Nothobranchius furzeri: one gene and its partners. The protein of the gene in region 1 purifies or fractionates together with the protein of each later gene. This does not show direct contact. Links are inferred from orthologs where the notes say so. Each region holds a gene or a part of one and is shown in the gene's direction. Other genes may lie near its edges. The genes, in order: mcm2, tonsl and ssrp1a.

Region 1 (7,177 bases):
AGTAAGTATGTTTAGGTGACCTAGTGTCCTTTTTCCCAAATACCATTTTATCCTATCTCAAACACAGCAATTTTGGCTTTTTGGACATACTTTGTAGTACAATTACTGAAAAAGTACACAGTAAAAGTAGTTCATACTTTGGTACCAGGTAGTACTCGAGGTATGCATGTATAGGTGGCCTAATGTCCTTTTTCCCAAGTACCATTTTATCCTATCTCAAACACGGCACATTTAGCTTTTTGTTTGTACTTTGAAGTACAATTACTGAAAAAGTACATGAAAAAAGTAGTTCATACTTTGATACCAGGTAGTACTTGAGGTACTTAGTATGCATGTATAGGTGGCCTAGTGTCCTTTTTCCCAAATACCATTTCGTCCCATCTCAAACTCGGCACTATTGGCTTTTTGTACATACTTTGAAGTAGAATTACTGAAAAAGTACACAGTAAAAGTAGTTCATACTTTAGTACCAGGTAGCACTCGTGGTACTTAGTATGTATGCATAGGTGACCTAGTGTCCTTTTTCCCAAATACCATTTTATCTCATCTCAAACACGGCAATTTTGGCTTTTTTGGACAACTTGTAGTACAGTTACTGAAAAAGTACTAAAAGTAGTTCATACGTTGATACCAGGTAGTAATCGAGGTACTTAGTATGCATGTATAGGTGGCCTAGCCCTAGTGTCCTTTTCCCCAAATACCATTTAATCCCATCTTAAACTTGCCACTTTTGGCTTTTTGGACATATTTTGAAGTACAATTACTTAAAAAGTACTCAGTAAAAGTAGTTCATACTTTAGTACCAGGTAGTAATAAAGGTACTTAGTATGCAAGTATAGGTGGCCTAGTGTTCTATTTCCCAAATACCATTTTATCCTATCTCAAACACGGCACATTTAGCTTTTTGTACATAATTTGAAGTACAATTACTGACAAAGTGCACAGTAAAAGTAGTTCATACTTTGTTACCAGATAGTACTCGACATACTTAGTATGTGTGTATAGGTGGCCTAGTGTCCTTTTTCCAAAAAGCCATTTTATCCTATCTCAAACTCGGCACTTTTGGCGTTTTGGACATTTTGAAGTACAATCACTGAAAAAGTACACAGTAAAAGTAGTTCATACTTTGGTACCAGATAGTACTCGAGGTACTTAGTATGTATGTATAGGATGCTTAGTGTCCTTTTTTTAAAACACAATTCTATCCTTTATCAAAGAGGTACATTTTGCAGGTCTGTGTCATCCTGATAGCCCATTATGTCGCTCATCTCAGCTCCTCTCCAGCAGCGAGACGGGTGTTGCCGTAAACTATCGTGTAAACGCGCACTTCAATTGTAGGTGCGGCTCACTTGACCGCAGTCTGATTTTGCCCCAACATGCAGCAGAGTGGAACAGAATCAGAGTTTCTCCCTGCTTTATTGATGACTGCTTTTTTTTTTACACAAACATTAATGGTGCAGCGTTGAGGTCCTGCAACAGCTGATGCTCTGTTCTCGAATTGTTGACCTGGTTTTGCTCAGCTGCAAGACTGAGTGGAGCTTGTTTTCAACAAAGACTCAAGTATTTCTGCTCACATCATCCCAGCCAATCAGAGCCTACCTGCAAAGCTTCTCAGCCAATAGGAGGCTCAGAAATCCATCCTCCTCCTCCTGTCCTGCAGCATTTCAGTGACTCATAAGAAACATCTCAGGACTTCGCCCAAATCACAGAATAGTCCTGGTTGTGGTTCTACAACAGATTCAGTGAGATCCTTTCAAAGAGCCAAATATCACAGAACTCAACTAACAGTTTCAACTCATTAATTATATTAGTCATGGCTCTAAAAAGGTCCTCGTCTTTGTATGACCTGCATGCCAAGTGAATCAAATGAAACAATAACCAATGGATGGTTTTGTATTATTATGAATAACACTAATAGTGTTATTTCTCTTGTGATGAACGTAGTGATATTAATTCATAAGTTTAGCCGTGGTCTTATTATTATTATTATTATTATTATTATTATTAAACATGCTATCTATCTATCTATCTATCTATCTATCTATCTATCTATCTATCTATCTATCTATCTATCTATCTATCTATCTATCTATCTATCTATCTATCATCTATCTATCTATCTATCTATCTATCTATCTATCATCTATCTATCTATCTATCTATCTATCTATCTATCTATCTATCTATCTATCTATCTATCTATCTATCTATCTATCTATCTATCTATCTATCTATCTATCTATCATCTGTCTGTCTGTCTGTCTGTCTATCTGTCTGTCTGTCTGTCTGAACTAAGCAGTTATTTGTAAAATAATCCACCCAATTTCCGAAACTCTTGAAGAAATTGAACGCATACTATCTACGTCACGAACACCACACAAGGAGGGTTTGTTTGTTTATCTCTGCGGCTCAGGCCGCTGAAGGGTGGTATCTACCGAGACCATCCGAGACACCGCAGATTCAGCTGCTAGTCAGCGACAAAACCGAACAAATCGTAAAGGAAGACCCGCCCCTTGAAATCTGGTCAGCCAATGAGAAAGACCAGCATCGGCATTCTCTTTGAATATTCATATTCATTCGCGGGCTTTGAGCTCCACGTGGTCGATTTCGCGCGAAAAGGGACAACCGGGCAGGAAGAAGAAGCAGCGTCGTCCACTGAAGCAGCAGCAGCTCAGTTCAGCAATGGCGGTGAGTTACAGTAAAGCCGTGAAAAACAACAAAAACGGGCTTTAATTAGGTTTTATTGCTTAAACGAAAGAAGATGCCGTTTATTAACTCCAGTTTATCGCTGTAGTTTTTGCTGACTTATCTCGTTTGTGGAAACAAGCACACAAAGACTTTCACTGTTTAAGAATCCGAACTTTTCTTTTGGAAATCAGGATTAGTTTTAGATGTTTTAATGCAGAATCGTGACCGACAACGATGCTGACGAGTGTTTTATTTAGTTTTACGTTATTAGAAACAATAATTATGGTGTTTGTAACGGAGAGCTGCCATGTGGCAGCTTCAGTTTGTCTGATTTTTATGCATTCAAGTCGAGTTTTTGAGATTTAAACGTATAGAAAGTCCAGATTATCTCACGTAAATCAGCCGAAAATCTCCTTTAGTTACAACAACACAGAAGTGACTGATCGTGTCCTCATGTGGCCTTTTCTTTATTTAACAACTGTTTAATAAAGTGGTCTCCTTTAAAAATAGCTGAAGACTCACTTGTTCATGCTGGCTTTTGTATGACCTTCTTCACCACTCTCTTTATTCTGCTCTCCCCACCTATTCCACCTTCCTCAGGATCCACTGATTTCCCTCTTTCCTATTCACTCCCTCTCTTTCTTAACATTTTTTTAATCACAATTGTCTATTTATGCTCATTTTAAATATATTGTTAAACATTTTCTAAATGCTTTTTTATATTTTTACATTTTTTATCTTCAGAGGCGCTATAGAAATGATACTTTCTTCTTCTTCTTTACTCTGAGCTGTTTCTTGTCTGCTGTACGCAGATTATTCATCAGGGAAAACATTTCCCTTGTTATTTCGGATTATTTAAAATTGCACCAAGAGGTTCTTCTATACCCAGAAACCCGTTATTGTAATCTTTCAAAATAAAACAAATTAAGACAACTAACAATAACTCAAACTAAACTTAGTTTGGTTTTATACAGTAAACGTTAAAATGCTCCACTGAAAAGCTCTTGAGCTGTTTGATGTTCTGGTCATTTAGTTTTTTCTTTTTATCTAATTAAGACATGGGGGGGGGGGGGGTTAAAACAAAATTTCTGCACTTTAGTTTATTTTGTTTAACATTACGATTGCACCCTCCAATTGCCTGCAAGGGTTACCGATCAGCCCGTTTGGAGATGTAACTGTTGTTGTTGACAGGATTCCTCTGAGTCGTTCCACGTGATCACCAGCCCCAACCGACCCTCCAGGAGAGGAGACCTGACCTCCAGCCCAGGACGGGACCTGCCCCCATTTGAGGATGAGTCCGAGGGGCTGCTTGGGGACGGACCCCTGCCTGGGGGTCTGGAGGAGGAGGAGGAGGCAGACGGGGAGGATCTGATTGGAGATGGGATGGAGAGGTGAACACCAGTTTGTGAGATCAGAAGCTTGTTTGGAAGCTTCATAATGATAAGTGGATCTACTCTTCCAGAGATTACCGCCCCATTCCGGCACTGGACCAATACGAGATGGAGGGCTTGGATCTGGATGACGAGGATCTGTCGGAGCTGTCGCCGGGAGCTCGAGCCGCTGCCGAGGAGGCGATGAGGAGGAGGGACCGGGAGCAGGGCCTCAGTGGACGTCTGAGGAGAGGACTCCTTTATGGTGAGGATGGAGATGAGCGGACCCATTTCTGGAGAACGGCTTTAATCCAATTGAATGAAAACACTGAAAGTGTTGCCTTGTTGCTGTTTTCAGACAGCGAAGACGAGGACGATGAGCGTCCTGCCGCCCGGCGAAGACGTCTGGCTGAGCGCGCCGCTGAGGGCATCGCAGATGGAGATGAGGAGGAGATGATCGAGAGCATCGAGAACCTGGAAGACATGAAGGTTTGTGGAGCTCTTTCAGGCCTCTCTACCGTCACATTGGGTTTTTAATCCCCTCCCGTCCTTCAGGGACACACGGTGAGGGAGTGGGTGTCTATGGCAGCTCCGCGGCTCGAGATCTACAACCGCTTCAAGAACTTCCTTCGGACCCACGTGGACGAGAATGGCCACAACGTGTTTAAGGAGAAGATCAGCGACATGTGCAAAGGTAGCTGAGATCTCTGCTACGGAGGAACGGTGGTGGAGAGGAGTTGAAAAACCTTAATCCTGCTTTTTGTCCCGATGTCTCAGAGAATAAGGAGAGTCTGGTGGTGAACTACGAAGACCTCGCTGCCAGGGAGCACGTTCTGGCCTATTTCCTCCCAGAAGCTCCAACGGAGATGCTGAAGGTGAGTTTTTATCATCGTGGAAGTCAAAATATAATTAGGACTTTTTCTAATGAACCCAAACATTTCTCTTGTCAGATTTTTGATGAAGCAGCCAAAGAAGTAGTTCTCACCATGTATCCAAAATACGACCGCATCGCTCACGAGATCCACGTCCGGATCTGTAACCTGCCGCTGGTCGAGGAGATTCGATCGCTCAGGTAGCGCAGCTTCCAGGCTCTTAAACATCTCCGCGATGCTGTTAAAGTCCTGTGTTGTTCACAAACGTTCTTCTGCTCTGGTCCTCAGGCAGCTCCACCTGAACCAGTTGATCCGGACCAGCGGCGTGGTGAGCAGCTGTACCGGAGTCCTGCCTCAGCTCAGCATGGTTAAATACAACTGTAACAAGTGCAGCTTCGTGCTCGGACCCTTCTTCCAGTCCCAGAACCAGGAGGTGAAGCCAGGATCCTGCCCGGAGTGTCAGTCGCAGGGGCCCTTCGAGATCAACATGGAGGAGGTGAGCGCTGATATTTAAAAAACAACAAAAAAACACTTAAATTGGACGTTCTGAGAGGAACCTGGATGTTTTTCCTTTGGACAGACGGTGTACCAGAACTATCAGAGGATCACCATCCAGGAAAGTCCTGGAAAAGTGGCGGCTGGCCGACTCCCTCGCTCCAAAGACGCCATCCTGCTGGCCGACCTGGTGGACAGCTGCAAGCCCGGAGACGAGATCGTGAGTTCAAATCTGCTTTCAGGAGTTCCGGGATACTCCCGAACGTCTGAGGGATAAAACTGACCGCTAGCTCGGTTGGTGGCACATTTTCATCGTGCTTTCCTCATCAGGAGCTGACGGGAATCTACCACAACAACTACGACGGCTCTCTGAACACAACTAATGGATTCCCGGTGTTCGCCACAGTGATCATGGCCAATCACATCACTCGCAGGGATGAGGGCGTGGCCGTGGCCGAACTCACAGACGAAGACATCAAGGCCATCGTTGCCCTGTCCAAAGACGAACGCATCGGAGAGAGGGTGAGGCACACAGTTGTCGGATCAGAACCCAACAGGGTCGCCGGTTCTCTTAAACGACTCTGGTTGTTGTGATGAGTGCAGATCTTCGCTAGCATGGCGCCGTCCATCTACGGACACGAGGACATAAAGAGAGCTTTGGCTCTGTCTCTGTTTGGAGGAGAGTCCAAAAATCCAGGTACTGACTCCCGGCTGAAATCCAGATCGCGTCGGGTCGGATGTTCGTTAATGCTGCTCGTCTGATTCTCCTGCAGGCGGCAAACATAAAGTACGTGGAGACATCAACGTGCTGCTGTGCGGAGACCCGGGAACTGCCAAGTCCCAGTTCCTTAAGTAAGGCACCAAACACGATCCTGCAGATGATCACCACACAGTCCGAGTTCTGTTCCAAGGGTTCGCCAACATCCAGATCAAACATCAGGAAACACATTAGCATAACAAAGATGGACGGTGGAGCAGGAAGTGATGCTGAGCAGGAAGTGGTTTGTTTGATCAGGCGTTTTCCTCCACAGGTATGTGGAGAAGGTGGCGAGTCGAGCTGTGTTCACCACGGGTCAGGGGGCGTCCGCCGTCGGTCTGACAGCCTACGTTCAGAGACACCCGGTGACCAGAGAGTGGACCTTGGAGGCTGGAGCGCTGGTGCTGGCCGACCGCGGCGTGTGTCTGATCGATGAGTTCGATAAGGTGAGTTGAGACCCGTTCGGTCCCTTCGGGAGAACGAAGATGAGATTACCTCTCGCTGATAATTGAATGAGAACTTCATAACCCTTCGTGGCCTTTGACCTCCAGATGAACGATGCTGACAGGACGAGTATCCACGAGGCCATGGAGCAGCAGAGCATCTCCATCTCCAAAGCTGGCATCGTCACCTCGCTGCAGGCTCGCTGCACCGTCATCGCTGCGGCAAACCCCATCGGTACGTCAGAGCCACGACCCGTCTGTAACCGTGGAAACGTCGTTCATTTTATTAGATTGTGTTTAAAACAACCAACCAGCTGCCTGACAGCAGATCCTTCAGGCCCACAGAGAGCTGGCCACATCAGCTGTTTTCATTCCTGAGCTCAGTGGGAGGTGGAGCCGAGCGCGGCTGGTTTTGGTTTCTGGGTGTGATTCGTTTTCCTGACTTGTCTTTTGTTCGGTTTCAGGTGGCAGGTATGACCCGTCGCTCACATTCGCCGAGAACGTGGACCTGACTGAGCCCATCGTGTCTCGGTTTGATGTGTTGTGTGTTGT
Region 2 (7,123 bases), on another chromosome or scaffold:
TCCCAACATTCCTGTCTGTCTTGTGCTTTTTTATTTTTTTTTACCCGCTGGACAGTGTTTACATACCACATTCCATCATTTCCTGGTTCTTCATAATAAAAAAAGGAACAGGAAATTTGTCACAAGATGATTTGATCATGGAAAAAGTGTGAAGTCACATTTTGAAAATGCACTAAATGCAGACTAAACACAGCACGTTTGGTTTGTGTGATGTATAGATTGTTTAGTTTAATTTTCGAGTTTTTTATATATATTCTCTGATTCCTATCTTCTTCTTCTTCCAGGGAAACTAGTGAGGCGATGCTCTAGCGCCCCGCTATGGACGAGCCACCACTGATTCTTACATATTGCACCTTTAATTTAGGCTGTTGAAAAAGTCATTTATTTTGCAGCTGAATCACATTCTCCCTGAGATACAGACGTCTACTACACAGAGACATTTTCTAGTTCTTCCCCAGTTGCGGCAAACATACAAAAATACCTCAAAAACTATCAATCGGATCTGACATATTTTGACATTAAGTGAGAGGAGAAGTAGCTGAAGAGGGGGATGTATAATATGTGCATGGTATGTACAAGTTGTGTCATTAGAAGTTAAACCCAAAACAGAAATTGCAGATGTCAGCTGGTAATTTGGGACATCTCTCTGTTTCTCTCACCTTCACAAACAGGATTCTAATTGTAAAAACTGTAAATACAAATCAATTTAAATAATCACGTAATTGTTATTCAGAGGGATCGCAGTGAGCTGAGTTCTTGAAGGTCCAAATTGACACGATAGATAAAAAAATCGTTTTAGTGTTTTATGAACTTATAGTCAGTGGACTGAGTTGATACTCGTGCTACAAAATAAACATTCTGGTATGACATTTATTGTGTGATCTTTCTCAACAATCAGAAAGCAACTACTCCCTGGAAACGTTCAATTATCATTGTATCTGAGGGCAGAGTTGATTTCTAGGTTCAGATGAGCAAAGATTTCATACCAGATGACCTCAGAAACACACCCGACCCTTCAGAAAACTGTCCCTCAGTTTGGATTATCGATAAGACTACCGGCTCTTTTCCAAATATTGGTATTCCGGTATGAGCTCCACTCAGAAGCTGGGGTTATTATTTTTATCTATTTTCCTTGACACACAACTTAAACCTTGTATTTCCTTGTATTGTCGAAGAAAGACTGATATGCTTGCAGGATGTTTATCACGCTGTTGCATAGTCAACATCATAACAAGAATAGGTCCCCACCTGTCGCCGTGGTAGAAGTCAGTTGTCCAGTAATCGGAAGGTTGCAGGTTCGATCCCGGCTCCGGACAGGGAATTCTGCTGTTGTGTCCTTGGGCAAGACACTTAACCCATCTTGCCTGCTGGTGGTGTTCAGAGGGACCGGTGGCGCCTGTGCTCGGCAGCCTCGCCTCTATCAGTGTGCCCCAAGGCAGCTGTGGCTACATCGTAGCTCATCACCATCAGTGTGTGAATGTGTGTGTGAATGGATGAATGATACATTGTGGTGTAAAGCGCTTTGGAGTCCTTACTCTGAAAGGCGCTACACAAGCGCGGGTCATTTATTTACCACAAAAATTGGGTCCTTTGGTGATTCACTTGCAACTTTATAAATCCAGTTTCCTCTTCTCATTTTTAATATTAATTTTCTCAGGAGGACGAAAATATAGTTTTTTAAAGCTTCATTATAATAAGTAGACTAAAATATTGAGTTCTAAACGAATGAAAATATAAAACGTGCAATTTCAGACGCGGGGGAGCAACTCCCCATCATAACTTCCAGAGAATTGTTCTAGCATTGGCCAGGAGAGGGCGCGAAATCCCCGTTCTTTCTAGGCAACAACACATGCTGAATGGCGGTAGCCTGGCCTGCCAGACTCCTCTGTACAGAGAAAGGGTCTGGGAACTCTCCTATTCAAATAACCCCACCCCGTGAGAATTCCAACCGAGCCAATCAGCATCCAGGCTAGAATAGTGGCCCTTGAGGAACCCGGGTGCAACACAACCGTGGGTTTTGAAAGCTGGAATGGTCATTTTTATTGTGTTTTTAGCTACTAAAATGAAATCACTTTTATAATGAGTTTCCCTGTTGCCAACACCAAAATTAAAAATTTAAAGAATTTAGAAAAAGTATTTCTAACTTTTGCAAATTTATAAATCCAGTTTCCTCGTCTCTTTCTACGATTCATCATTCTCCTGCTTAATATTCATATTCCCAAGAGGATGAAAAGAAATACAGTTTTTAAAAGCTTAATTAAAACAAGGAGGTGAAAATATTCTGTTCTAAATAGATGAAAAGGTCAAAATTGCAGTATCTAATTTCAGACACTGGAGGTCAGTCACTCCCCAACCGCCCTTCATCACCACAGACACTGCCACTGAGCAACACCCATTCTTATTTTGCTTTGTAGCCCTACGTAATAACTGTCAGGCGGTTAAAAGCCTAATTGCAGGGAGAAAAAATCAATTATATTTTTACAATTGTTAAATAATATCAGACTATTGAGTTGAAGGGGCGTACTTTGATTGTTGACCGGCGTTCTCATAGTTTGAACCTGGAGTTTATGCCTGACAGACATTACAGCGGGCAGATAAATATTATCGCTTCATTGAGTGACGTTTTCCTGGCGGGGCAATGCGAAACCAGAAACTTGTAAACGCGAAGCTAAACATGAGTGTTTACGCAGATGATTGATACATGTGAATGTTTTCTTATTGCATACAGTCAGAATCTGAGGCTAATTCTAAACGTAGGCAAACGTATGACGTTGCTAAACAGTTATGAGGCAAATGTCCTGTTAACCGCCAACAGGCAGAGCTAAGCTAACGTTTAGCGCGCTGTTTGTCATTCACTACCAGCTGTCAGTTAAACCAATATGAGCTCTTCACGAGAAATCAAACGTAAGTGTTGCTCTATTTACAGCTGATCTGTTGGTTCCAAAAGGCTAAGATGGTTGTTTTGACTGCTCTTCTCTGCAGAGCTGCTGAAGGCAAAAAGCAAAGCCCAGACCAGCAATCACTTAAAGGAGGAAGCCAACATCTGCAACCAGCTAGGAGAGCTGTTGTCCAGGACTGGTATGAACCTCCACAGTTTTATATTTTTTATTATTATCACAAATGTGCTACCATCGCTTTACATCTTTATGTGACACTCTCTCCCACACACTTTCTGTTGCATATTCTCTGCGCCTTTGCAGCCTTAGATTTTATTATTTATCAATTAAATTTGCTCCCTATTTGTGCTGATGCATATAAAGGTTGTTGTGTTTGATCTGTGCATACCTCAGGTGACTACAAGGCAGCCATCAGGGAACATCAACAGGAGCTAGCTCTCTCTGAGGCTCTAAAAGATGTGATCGGACGCGCTGTGGCCCATCGGAAGATAGGAGAGTGCTATGCAGAGATGGGAAACATCGAGGCTGCTTTGAAAGTAAGCAGACTTGAATGCAAAAATGTTTTTTTAATGCATACCTAAAAGGAGTGTCTTGCTTTTTTTTTTTTTTTTGGTTTCCAGCATCAGCATCATCACCTGGACCTGGCTCGCTCTGTCAGAGATCATGCTGAAGAGCAAAGAGCTCTGGCTACCATTGGTCGTACCTACCTGTTCTGTTATGAATCTGACCAATCGAAGAACAGTTTAAAGCTGGCAGAAGATGCTTTCAGGAAGAGCTTGGCCATTGTGGATGAGCGTCTAGGTGGTGTGTATCGATTGTTTGGGTAACTTGGAATAATCGCGCTCTGGTTAGGTGGTTACGTATGAAGGTTCTTTCAACGTTTAGGGATGGTGTCCGAGCGAGAGATCAGTGAGATGAAGGCTCGGCTTTTCCTCAACCTTGGTCTGGTGTGCGATCATCTAGGGGAGCCCAAACGCTGCAGCGAGTTCATCCGACGTAGCGTCTTCATTGCAGAGTAAGAAGAACATCTCAAAACGATCTCCTAATCGTGGTCATAATACGCTTTAATTCATTTGCCCTGCACAAAGTCTTATGATTTCGTCTTGGAACAGGAGGAGCCAGCTGCTAGAGGATCTCTACCGGGCCAACTTTAACTTGGGCAACATCTACTTCCGCAACGGCCAACACTCCAACTCTGTCCGCTGTTTGGAGCAGGCCAAAGAGTGTTCCCGGAAGATGAAAGACAAGTTTGCTGAGAGTGAATGCTTTCACTGCATTGGCAAGGTAGGAGTACCCTTCTACTGTTCGTCACTGCATTTTCACAGGCTCTGATGACTCAGACTCACATCCAGGTGCAGCTGTCTCTGGGGGATTTTGTAGCTGCCAGACGATCTCTAAAGAAGGCTCTACTGTTGGGTTCTCAACAACCAGCAGACAAGCAGGCAGTGAAGAAAGCTTTTAAATATGGTGAGAGGGTTTTTGTTTGTTGGTTTTTGATCGTATTTCCTCACAGATGCATTAACAACATGACGTGTGTGTAATACCGTAGCTGATCGAGGCTGTAGGTTAGAGGAAGAGCTGGGGGAAGATCAGGAGAAGAGTTTCTGCTCCCATCGGGCTGTGGAGCTGTCGGAGCAGCTAGGGGATCTTTACTGTAAGGTTGGCTGCTACAGCAAAGCTCTGGAGGCTTACCAGGCTCAGGTGAGACACCTAAGAGAAAACAAAATGCTCCATTTTAACTTTAGCTCTTGAAATTAGCTGGATTGTAATTTCTCCTGTGAATTAGCTGAAAGGTGCTGAGATGATGGCGAAACCGGCGCGGGAGCTGGCTGTGATCCACGTGTCCCTGGCTGCTACCTGCACAGACCTGAGACAACACGACAAGGCCGTGGAGCACTACAGGAAGGAGCTGGCTTTACGACAGGGCAGCTCTACAGAGGTGCACCTTCACCCCATAACACCAAGATAGATAACTTATTACTGTGGAAGAAACGACAGATTTCCTCTGTTGGACTGAATTAACTAACATATTTGCAGGCATGGTTGTTAAAAATCTACTCTTATTAAATCACAGAGCTTGTTTTAACCAACAGCTAATGCATGCGCATAACTACTGGTGTGTGTGTGTGTGTGTGCGTCAGGAGTGTAGCACATGGCTGAACATCGCAGCAGCTCAGGAGGAGAGTGGCTGCATATCTGAGGACATAGAAGGCAGCTACAGATCAGCTTCACGCTGTGCAGAGGCGTCCGGGGAGGTCCGACTGCAGGTGAGGAAATGTGACATAAAGTATTTAAATAGAAGCAGCATTTTTATCACAGCTTTACTACAGGTCTATGTAAAAGTTCATCTTACGTCCCACAGAAACGCACGCTGAGACTCTGGCTGGCCTTCCAAAGACGGAGCGGCTCATCGGAAGCAGATGACACGGCGGCGAAGCTGCAAGAGCTTTGTGCCTCAAAGGGCTGTGATCCAGAGGAGAGTGATGGGGAGGAGGATGAGGAGGAGGAGACGGACAACACCGAAACTCTGGAGGACAGCGATGTCGTTCTCTCAGACTCAGGTAGACAGATTCATCTGCCTTGTTGTCGTTCTTTTTTAAAACACAGAAACGGTTTTGTTACCTGTTACTGACGCTACAGTTTCGCCGACGGCTGCCGGCTTCTTCAGGCTGACGCTGATAAAGGAGAAGGAAGACTTGGAATTAGAACATGGAATTAGAAATAACGCACAGCAAGAACACACCTAAGATTCATCTGCCTCCCTACAGGGGGCTGAACTTGTGATATTTATATTTATTTGCCTTTCAGATGATGATTTAGAGGGTTACGACAAAATGGTGTCAGGAAGAAGAAAGACAGGGAGGGTGAGTTAATTCATTATCAGTTAAATTATCTTTGGTTTCCTTAATTCAGACGTTAAACTTTTTGCCTTTTTTGCACTCGTGTGTTCGATTTAGTGGAATAAGAGGAACGAGAAGGGAGAGACGTCTCTCCACAGAGCGTGTATCGACGGAAACCTGAAGCAAGTCCAGTGTCTGGTAGAGCAGGTGAAAAACCGTTGAACTGTGAATCTTTTATCATGAGTGAGCTTCATGAAAATAAAAGTGTGTGTGTGTGTGTGTGTGTGTGTGTGTGTGTGTGTGTGTGTGTGTGTGTGTGTGTGTGTGTGTGTGTGTGTGTGTGTGTGTGTGTGTGTGTGTGTGTGTGTGTGTGTGTGTCAGGGTCACCCAGTAAATCCCAGGGACTACTGTGGCTGGACTCCCCTCCACGAGGCCTGCAACCATGGTCACTATGGTAACCGAGCTCTGTTCTGTTGTTAGAAATCAGTCCAGTCCAGATGTTTTCACTTACATTCTGTATCTCCGCTGTCATCCAGATGTGGTGGCCTTGCTACTGGAGCGTGGCGCCAACATCAACGATCCCGGCGGGCCCCTCTGTGAGGGAGTGACTCCTCTGCACGACGCCCTCGCTTGTGGGAATTTAAAAGTTGCACGACTGCTGGTGGAACGAGGAGCTTCTGTCACACTCCGCAACTCCAAGGTTGGTTGGATTTCTGTAGAGGTTGCATTACAAATATTTACTTTTGTAAATCAAATCAAAGATACTTTATTAATCCCAGAGGGAAATTAGAGTTATTAGTCAGCCTCATTTCACTCAGGTATCATTTTACACATAGAAACCATCTAAACTTGATGAAATCACAATTTTGTTTGTATTTTCTGTGCAAATAAGTCATTTGATTCTAAGAATTTAAAGATTTAATTAAATGACTAATATTACTGTATTTTTTTATTATTGTTTTTGCAACTTGGAGGAAAAAAAGTTAAACTAGTTCAATTTTAATGCAATTAAACAACGCTTCATGAAATACATTTAAATATGTCTGATTTAGCCTGACAAATAGTACAATTTTCCACTAAATGTAAGATTCATGGTCTTACTTTTCTTCAGCTAAGCTAACGTTAGCCACAACATGCTACCGTTATACAACACATCTTCCAAAAGATATGACTTGTAAATTACAAAAAAACTCACTTTTGTTTCTGTTTATCCATCACGTCTTGCTCCACAAAAGTATTTATGAAGAACTACCACCGCTTTGGAGGTCACATGACTTCCAGGGGAAAGGATAACGTCCGGTGTGTAGTGGAGCTATCTTGTCTGCAGTTTGGTGCCTCTCCAGATTTCAGCTCCAAATGATCACAAATGTTATGTCATCAACCAAC
Region 3 (7,003 bases), on another chromosome or scaffold:
GTTTTCCCTCTGAGTGTTGCATCAGAGCCATGTGAGGAGTTACGGGTGTTTCTGGATGTACCTGAACAGATAAATGTGTGTGTGTGTGTGTGTGTGTGTGTGTGTGTGTGTGTGTGTGTGTGTGTGTGTGTGTGTGTGTGTGTGTGTGTGTGTGTGTGTGTGTGTGTGTGTGTGTGTGTGTGTGTGTGTGTGTGTGTGTGTGTGTGTGTGTGAATTTGATGGGGTCAGAAGCTCCTGTCTAGGTAGCTGTCACTGATATGAGAAAGTACATTATTCACTTTAGTCAGGGTGTGAGACCACACACACACACACACACACACACACACACACACACACACACACACACACACACACACACACACACACACACACACACACTTTTAATTGTTTTTGTTCTATTGTTAAAAAACATTGTTTACTACTAATAATAATTACTATTACTAGTATTAGTGACATTATAAATAAATAACGTTTAATTTGACAAAGTCCTTTTTTGTCTATAAATACTATTGTAAATAGTCTTTTGTTGCTTTTTTAAGAATAATCTGTTTTGTGACTTTTAATGCAATACGTGTCTAAAAGATGTAATAATAATGATTTATATCCACAGGTTTTAATAAGATAACTAGATTCATGATCTTACCTTTACCAAAGCTTCTCATGGTCTCCAGAACCGTTAATTCCAATCTCAACTAAAAAGAAATTCGTAACTTTTTAACACAGGTGATGTGGTGACTCGGTCTTTACAGGATGAACGAACTTTTTTGTTCAAAATAAAAAAAAGAAAAATAAATTTGAGAGTAACCTTCCTCAGGACGTCGTTTAAATTTATCCTCTGACTTGTGTGGTCTGTGTGACAGACGGAATGACGGCGGAGCTCTTTTTGTACCTCCTCCTCCTCCTCTTTTTCTCCCATTCCTCCCCTCTTTTCCATCCCTGTCTCCTCTTCTTCCCCTGTTCTCCTCCTCTGCGGTGATTCACCAGGTTGACGCATCACGGCTCAGCTCGAACCACGGGACTTGTCACAACTCATTTCTGTCTCTCATCTCCGCGAACGCGAGCTGACAGCGGCGTTTGATCTTTAATCTGCTTCCCTTTAATAAGGTAACGAGTCGGACCGGATCGACTCACCTCGGCCCGGATCGGGTCACCTCGGGCCAGGAGGACAGGGCAGAAACTCCACGATCCAAATGCTCCAGGAAACAGGGATTAGAGGGACCGTTTAACTTCAGAAAGGAGAGAAAGACGCGTTTTAATGGAACGCTTTAAAATTTACTGTAAATGATGAAAACACTTCGTCTGCGTTTAATCCATCATTTCCAATTTGTCGCAAAAAAAACAAAAACATTTTCTTTAAAATTGCGTGTTTAAAATATAAGAAACGCATACACTAATCACATTTAAATGTTTTAAGCAACTCTTCTGTTTAAACCTTTTGTTTAACAACAGACGACATTGATCTCATTTTCCAATCTCACATAATCTGGCAGGATGCAGCAGTTTCTTGAAAAAAAAATCCTTAATCTGGCAGGTTTTCCATATCTGTTCAGGTCACGCGGGGTATGCGTTTGAATTGTGGCCTTGTTAATGTGGACTGACAGCAGATCCTCAGGATTAATCGAAGGGAGACCCAAAACTCTTGTTTTATTTATTTATTTTTTTAATTTAACAAGATATTTAATTGAGACTATGTGGATCACTAAAGCACACTCATCTGACATGGTGCTATTATGACTGGCTTTCGGGCCCTGTGTTCTAATTGTATTTCTGTACTTTGTTAACTATTATCCTCTTGCATTATTTTATTTAATCAAGTTACTATCAAGTATCAGACTTCGTTTCCAAACTGTGCTACCTCAGCAGGTTAATCTGATCCGATCCTCACTGTAACACCAGTTCTTGCCTTTTTCTTGTAAAATGAAAACGTGAATATCTGTTCACACTATAGATTGTGGCTAGCACATCTGAATGTATTTTAAAGCAAAAATGAACCAAATTTGCGTCGCTTCGCTCAGTATTTAATGTTCTTCTAACAAGAGATTTATAACACAAGTAACGACAGGACTCTTCAGGCTCTTGGAGGGATTGTGCGCCCTGTAGTGGTATATCGGGGTCACTGCACCATTCTCTGGTCTGCGCAGACTCCGTAAAATCATGCCACTATTAGTTTGATATATCTTTAAAAACTCGTTAATACAAACACATTTACATCTTATACAAATGGGAAAGTGTTTAGTCAAAAAATATAGAATGCTTAAAAAAACCTTTTGGCAAACCGGAAAGAAACGCATACTCCTGCTGTTGTTTCCTGTGACGTCACACTAGCTCCTGATGCTACACGCGGGAAACGAATCTGCACATCTCAGTGATTGTAAGTCTACGTTTAAAAAACTGCCTTTTCTCCTGTGGATAAAAACTTGTTTGTGAGAGAAACTAATCAACAGAAGATAGGTTTGCTCACGCGCCTCAACTGAATTTGATTTCTTTGTTATGTAGACCATAAAATAGTACTTGTTTTCCAAAACCGGCCTAGCTTCTTTTTTTGTTGCGCTCGATTCGGTGTACTTTGCATTGCTGCGGGGCGGTGCTGTTGTTCGTGCCATTTCCTACAACCAAAATTACGACTCGGTTAAACATCGGTACTCAAAAGAAGCGTAGCAAGTGCACCTATGCTAGCTTAGCTATTGTGAGTGATGGAGCATGCTTGATGGTGCTGACAAACGGAGTGACACAGCCTTTACTTGTGTCACGGTGGGATTGTAAACATTTCTGCTCTTCAGATTGTATTTTACAATATTGTTGGGTAGATTTTTAACTATTTTAAATGGGCACACAGTAAAAAAAATAAGCAAACGTAACCGTTGAGATAACGTTAGGTCAGATTTCATCTTTGTTTAACCAGGAAGGTCCCATTAAGATAAAAATCATCATCTGAGCGTCTCGATGCTTCAGAATGACTAACATTTGGAAAACAGCACAGAATATTTCATTTTGTAATGAACTTGTTGATGTTTGGTTGGAACTGATGCCGTTTACCTGTGTATAGAGCGTCAGTCATCGCCTGGAGCCGACATGGGGGACACACTGGAGTTCAACGAGATCTACCAGGAGGTCAAAGGCTCTTGGGTCAGTTCCTTCACCCTGCCTTTTATTTTACATCTCTACTAAATGATTGTGTGTTTGCACGTTCAGTATGTAACCCACAGCATGATAGGATCCTGGTTATCTGATAACACTTGTATCCTTAAATCACAAAAAAAAGTCAATTTCAGAAGGTTTTTCCCCTTGTTACTATTTGAAGGTGTCAACTGAATATCAACATGGCATCAGAATTTAGTCAAGAAGATCCAAGAGGATGTTCATTTGACCACTGTATCTGTGATGTATGCTTTCATCTGCCAACACAAGTTTACATCACTCGTGTCATAGGGCAGGAGTAACGTCATGTTTTATCATAATCTATCAAATGTGATTCAGACACTCCTTCAGAAATCAGCAATAACTCTTTTTTTTCCTCATTAAAGCATCTTATTAGTAGCAAATAATCTTTAAGGCCCCTTGTGATTTCATTTAATTGATCAGATAGTTTCATACAGAAATAAATAAATAAAAACATGTCTTCCCCTCACCTCTCCTCTGTGTGACTGGTGTGCATCAGGTACTTTTATGGAAAAGTGTTTTCGTAACCCCAAATTAATTTACATTCAGTAATTTTTTAACGAATGGAACAAAATCAATCTTTTCATGTTCCCATCTTGAAATCACAGCTTTCATATACAAATACAAACTGGAGTTTGAATAATGTGAATTATTGTGAATTAAACTGAAGACTTGCCTTTTTAACCATTTTGATATCTGATAAGAGTACACAAATACCCCCCAACAAAAAAATCAGAATAGAAAACATTCACATTTAGCCTCAAAAGAGTCTGAATCACTTCAAATTAATTTCAGAACATTTAAATTACAGCTAAGTTCCAGATATCATCAAACCCAGGATGTCCTGACCCTCATGGGCAGAACTCGTTTGTGATGTGAGCTCCTCCTAAACGGTCCAGATGTTGCACCTCTGCTCCTAAAGGTTCTGCCTTTTGCGTCCCTCAGCATTGTGTCATTAATTACCGTTTATGTAAATTATTTATTTTTTAACATCTTTAAATCCATTCAGAATCATTTATGCCCACATTGATGCATCAGAAAATAGATTATACCCACCACCCCTAGAACAGTGTGTATATTTATATCTTAGTGTTTTACATTAAATGTTATTGTGACACGGATTAGTGCACCACACAGCATTCTCTAAAGAGCAGTTATAAGTAACACCTTTACAATTACCAACGTCGTCTCAACACGAAGGACCAAATGAGGATAAACATGTTTGTATAGTGGGATGTTCTGATGGAGCTGCCTTTAAGTCAAATGAAAAATAGAATATAACTCAGTTTTTATGTAAATCATCATTTAACAGAATGATTATTAAATGCTAATTGAGATGAGGTCAGTATTTTGTGGTTCTGCTTTAAACTTTGATGTTGAATCTAAAAAGGAGCAAAATATTTTAAAGTTGTTTCTGCTGTTTTTATAACTGATAGTGAATTATGTCCTAAAATGCCCAAACGACCCCGTTCTACCAAACAAACCCTTAAAAACCTTAAATAAGAATCTGTTTTAATCCAAGTTCCTCGTGTGTAGAAATCTAGCAGCTGATGGTATTTTACATCTGCTCTGAATTCTGGGTCAACCATGCAGACAATGCTGGCGAAATCCTACAGAGTACATGCTTTTTCTATTTGTACTAAATGTTTACTGGGTGTAGGATCCTACATCATTACATTAAAACTTGGCTTACTAAAATATATAACACGTGTCCCCGTTGTGTGATTGGTTACCATCATTCCTCTAGTTATGGGTTTAGGGATCATCCATCTTTGACGGTTTAGTGCAGTCTTTGATTTTCTGTCCAAAGTAAATGGAGGTTACAATGTTCCTGTTTGTGTTTCTTTTTATTGTTATTATTTTTATGCCAACAACAGTAAAATGAGGCTGAAGGTTTATTATATTCCTCTCCCTGTTGTCGGGCGGCGCTCAGATCAGCTGATCAGCAGGTCTGAACGCTGTGCACACAGGCAGCGTAGAGCGAGAGAGGGCAGCCATTTTCAGACTCAAACTTTTTTATAAGCAAGAGAAATCTTTGAAACTGTGGAGGAAAAATTGTTCAAACTAAAACACAGGAGATGTCCAAAAGGTTTGAAAGCCTGTGTGTTCATTATGTGTTAAAGAAAATCAAATGGCATTAAAGGGAACTTTGTTGAGCGAGCTATTAACGGAGATAAAAGCTCGTTAAGCCAGCATGTTTTACTGAGGATGCTTTTCTGCTCAACATCCAACCCAGACCAGGTCTGTATAACCAACATTGTCCCATCTAGAGGCTGACCGATAGATCGGACCGATAATTTCAAGTTTTTTCTATATCGGCCGAAATTATTTTTAAAAGCCGATTAAAACAAATAAATAAATAAATCAGGTGTGCCCGACTGCTGCCACTACTAGACTGAAGAAAGGACCCAAAGAACCCTAACAGTTTTTTTATGTTTTGAGTAGGGCTGGGCAATAAATCTAAAATTTATCGTTGTCGAAATTTCTGACTCTTATCATGATAATAAGACTCGTGTTTTATTACTGAGCTCTGTTGTGGTTTATTATTAATAAAATGTGACAATCGGCTGAAACTGTTGTGAAAAGTTGGTTCAAACTAAATAACAGGAGATGTTCAGAAGTTTGTAAGCCTGTGTTCATCATGTGTTAAACGAACCGCATCTCATCTGCGTTAACGTGCTTTTACACAGATAGTCGCCCAGAATATTGAACTGAGGATGTTTTTCTACTTAACTACTCAAACCAGGTCTGATTAACCGTTGTTACCCTGTCTTCTTTACGATCACGTCTTCATCCACCTGCTGCAGAAACGGCTGCTGCGGTCACGGAAACAGGGATCTGTGCTGCAAACCTGAAATGAATCTGGTGTTTCCGGGACAGTCTTTACTGCAATAATCAGATTTTTACTTTGCTTCCACAAAATGCAAGTTCTGGATTAGATATTACTGAAACAGGGACGGCTTGCCATCCATTTTAAAAGCTGGCGCTCGTTAATTAGGTCGTCATTTTAAAAGTCAGTTAGTCCAAATGACGACGGGGAGGCTCGCTAGCTGTTGCTCACATGCGCAGTGGGCATTATTTTACTCCCAACAGTCCGAATGGCTGTGTACATGCACGCCAATCGGAATGATGATTGGACAAAACCACCTCTCTCAATAGGATTGAAATTTCATACCGATCGGGCCGAATCGGATCAGAACGTTCCGGTTGACATGTTTACATGCAGAAATTTTGATTTGATTGGGCGTTCAGTCTGATTAATTGCGCACATGTAAACGTGGCTTGTGAGTGTTCAGTTGTCTTTCACAATCAATGTGCTGCTAAAATGTATATATATATATATACATATATATATAATCTGCTTTAGATATCGGCAACAAAATTCTTTAAAAATCGGTATCTGCATCGGCCTTAAAAAAACCACATCAGTCGGCGTCCAGTCCTATCCTTATTTTGAGCCTGTCTTTATCCACCCGCACCGTGCTGCTGCAGCTTGATGACATTCATGTGCGATCGTACTTGGCTGTTAGTCAAAATCTTTACCAGTGGCTAAATTTATCATCCGTATACCGTTTATACAGTGGCATTACTAGCTTACAGATAAGCATTTGGAAATGCTTTTTCTGGACTCATGAACCCATCATGTCTCATCTCGTCTCTGCAGAATGACGGACGGCTGCGTTTCAGCAAACAGAACGTGGTTTATAAGAGCAACAAGACAGGGAAGGTGGACAACATCGCTGCAGGAGAGCTCAACCTGGCTCAGTGGAGACGGGTGTGTTTGGGTCACGGCATCAAACTGGGCACCAGCACGGGTCACGTCTACAAGTACGACGGCTTCAGG

What was found.
Region 2: the proteins of mcm2 (region 1) and tonsl purify together in Homo sapiens (affinity purification with mass spectrometry; 4 studies listed by BioGRID and IntAct, with this or other methods). This does not show direct contact. The link is inferred for Nothobranchius furzeri from reciprocal best matches to the Homo sapiens genes MCM2 and TONSL.
Region 3: the proteins of mcm2 (region 1) and ssrp1a purify together in Homo sapiens (affinity purification with mass spectrometry; 6 studies listed by BioGRID and IntAct, counting the BioPlex papers as one, with this or other methods). This does not show direct contact. The link is inferred for Nothobranchius furzeri from reciprocal best matches to the Homo sapiens genes MCM2 and SSRP1.

What each region holds. Positions count from the first base shown.
Region 1 is NC_091743.1:72,010,445-72,017,621, forward strand, and holds the start of mcm2 (DNA replication licensing factor MCM2), read left to right. Parts: upstream 1-2,586; 5' UTR 2,587-2,682; coding exon 2,683-2,688; intron 2,689-3,879; coding exon 3,880-4,079; intron 4,080-4,150; coding exon 4,151-4,323; intron 4,324-4,416; coding exon 4,417-4,547; intron 4,548-4,613; coding exon 4,614-4,752; intron 4,753-4,835; coding exon 4,836-4,933; intron 4,934-5,008; coding exon 5,009-5,130; intron 5,131-5,218; coding exon 5,219-5,426; intron 5,427-5,510; coding exon 5,511-5,645; intron 5,646-5,755; coding exon 5,756-5,947; intron 5,948-6,028; coding exon 6,029-6,122; intron 6,123-6,198; coding exon 6,199-6,277; intron 6,278-6,456; coding exon 6,457-6,628; intron 6,629-6,733; coding exon 6,734-6,860; intron 6,861-7,089; coding exon 7,090-7,177. UniProt on the Homo sapiens protein: Acts as a component of the MCM2-7 complex (MCM complex) which is the replicative helicase essential for 'once per cell cycle' DNA replication initiation and elongation in eukaryotic cells.
Region 2 is NC_091758.1:29,049,190-29,056,312, reverse strand, and holds the start of tonsl (tonsoku-like protein), read left to right. Parts: upstream 1-2,442; 5' UTR 2,443-2,879; coding exon 2,880-2,904; intron 2,905-2,982; coding exon 2,983-3,078; intron 3,079-3,290; coding exon 3,291-3,433; intron 3,434-3,517; coding exon 3,518-3,701; intron 3,702-3,782; coding exon 3,783-3,912; intron 3,913-4,009; coding exon 4,010-4,181; intron 4,182-4,249; coding exon 4,250-4,364; intron 4,365-4,446; coding exon 4,447-4,598; intron 4,599-4,683; coding exon 4,684-4,836; intron 4,837-5,038; coding exon 5,039-5,164; intron 5,165-5,259; coding exon 5,260-5,458; intron 5,459-5,705; coding exon 5,706-5,761; intron 5,762-5,854; coding exon 5,855-5,944; intron 5,945-6,118; coding exon 6,119-6,191; intron 6,192-6,273; coding exon 6,274-6,437; intron 6,438-7,123. UniProt on the Homo sapiens protein: Component of the MMS22L-TONSL complex, a complex that promotes homologous recombination-mediated repair of double-strand breaks (DSBs) at stalled or collapsed replication forks.
Region 3 is NC_091741.1:91,653,059-91,660,061, forward strand, and holds the start of ssrp1a (FACT complex subunit SSRP1a), read left to right. Parts: upstream 1-2,284; 5' UTR 2,285-2,371; intron 2,372-2,644; exon of another isoform or gene 2,645-2,751; intron 2,752-3,046; 5' UTR 3,047-3,072; coding exon 3,073-3,126; intron 3,127-6,823; coding exon 6,824-7,003. Other genes in the region: uncharacterized protein clcf1, read right to left, coding at 644-662. UniProt on the Homo sapiens protein: Component of the FACT complex, a general chromatin factor that acts to reorganize nucleosomes. The FACT complex is involved in multiple processes that require DNA as a template such as mRNA elongation, DNA replication and DNA repair.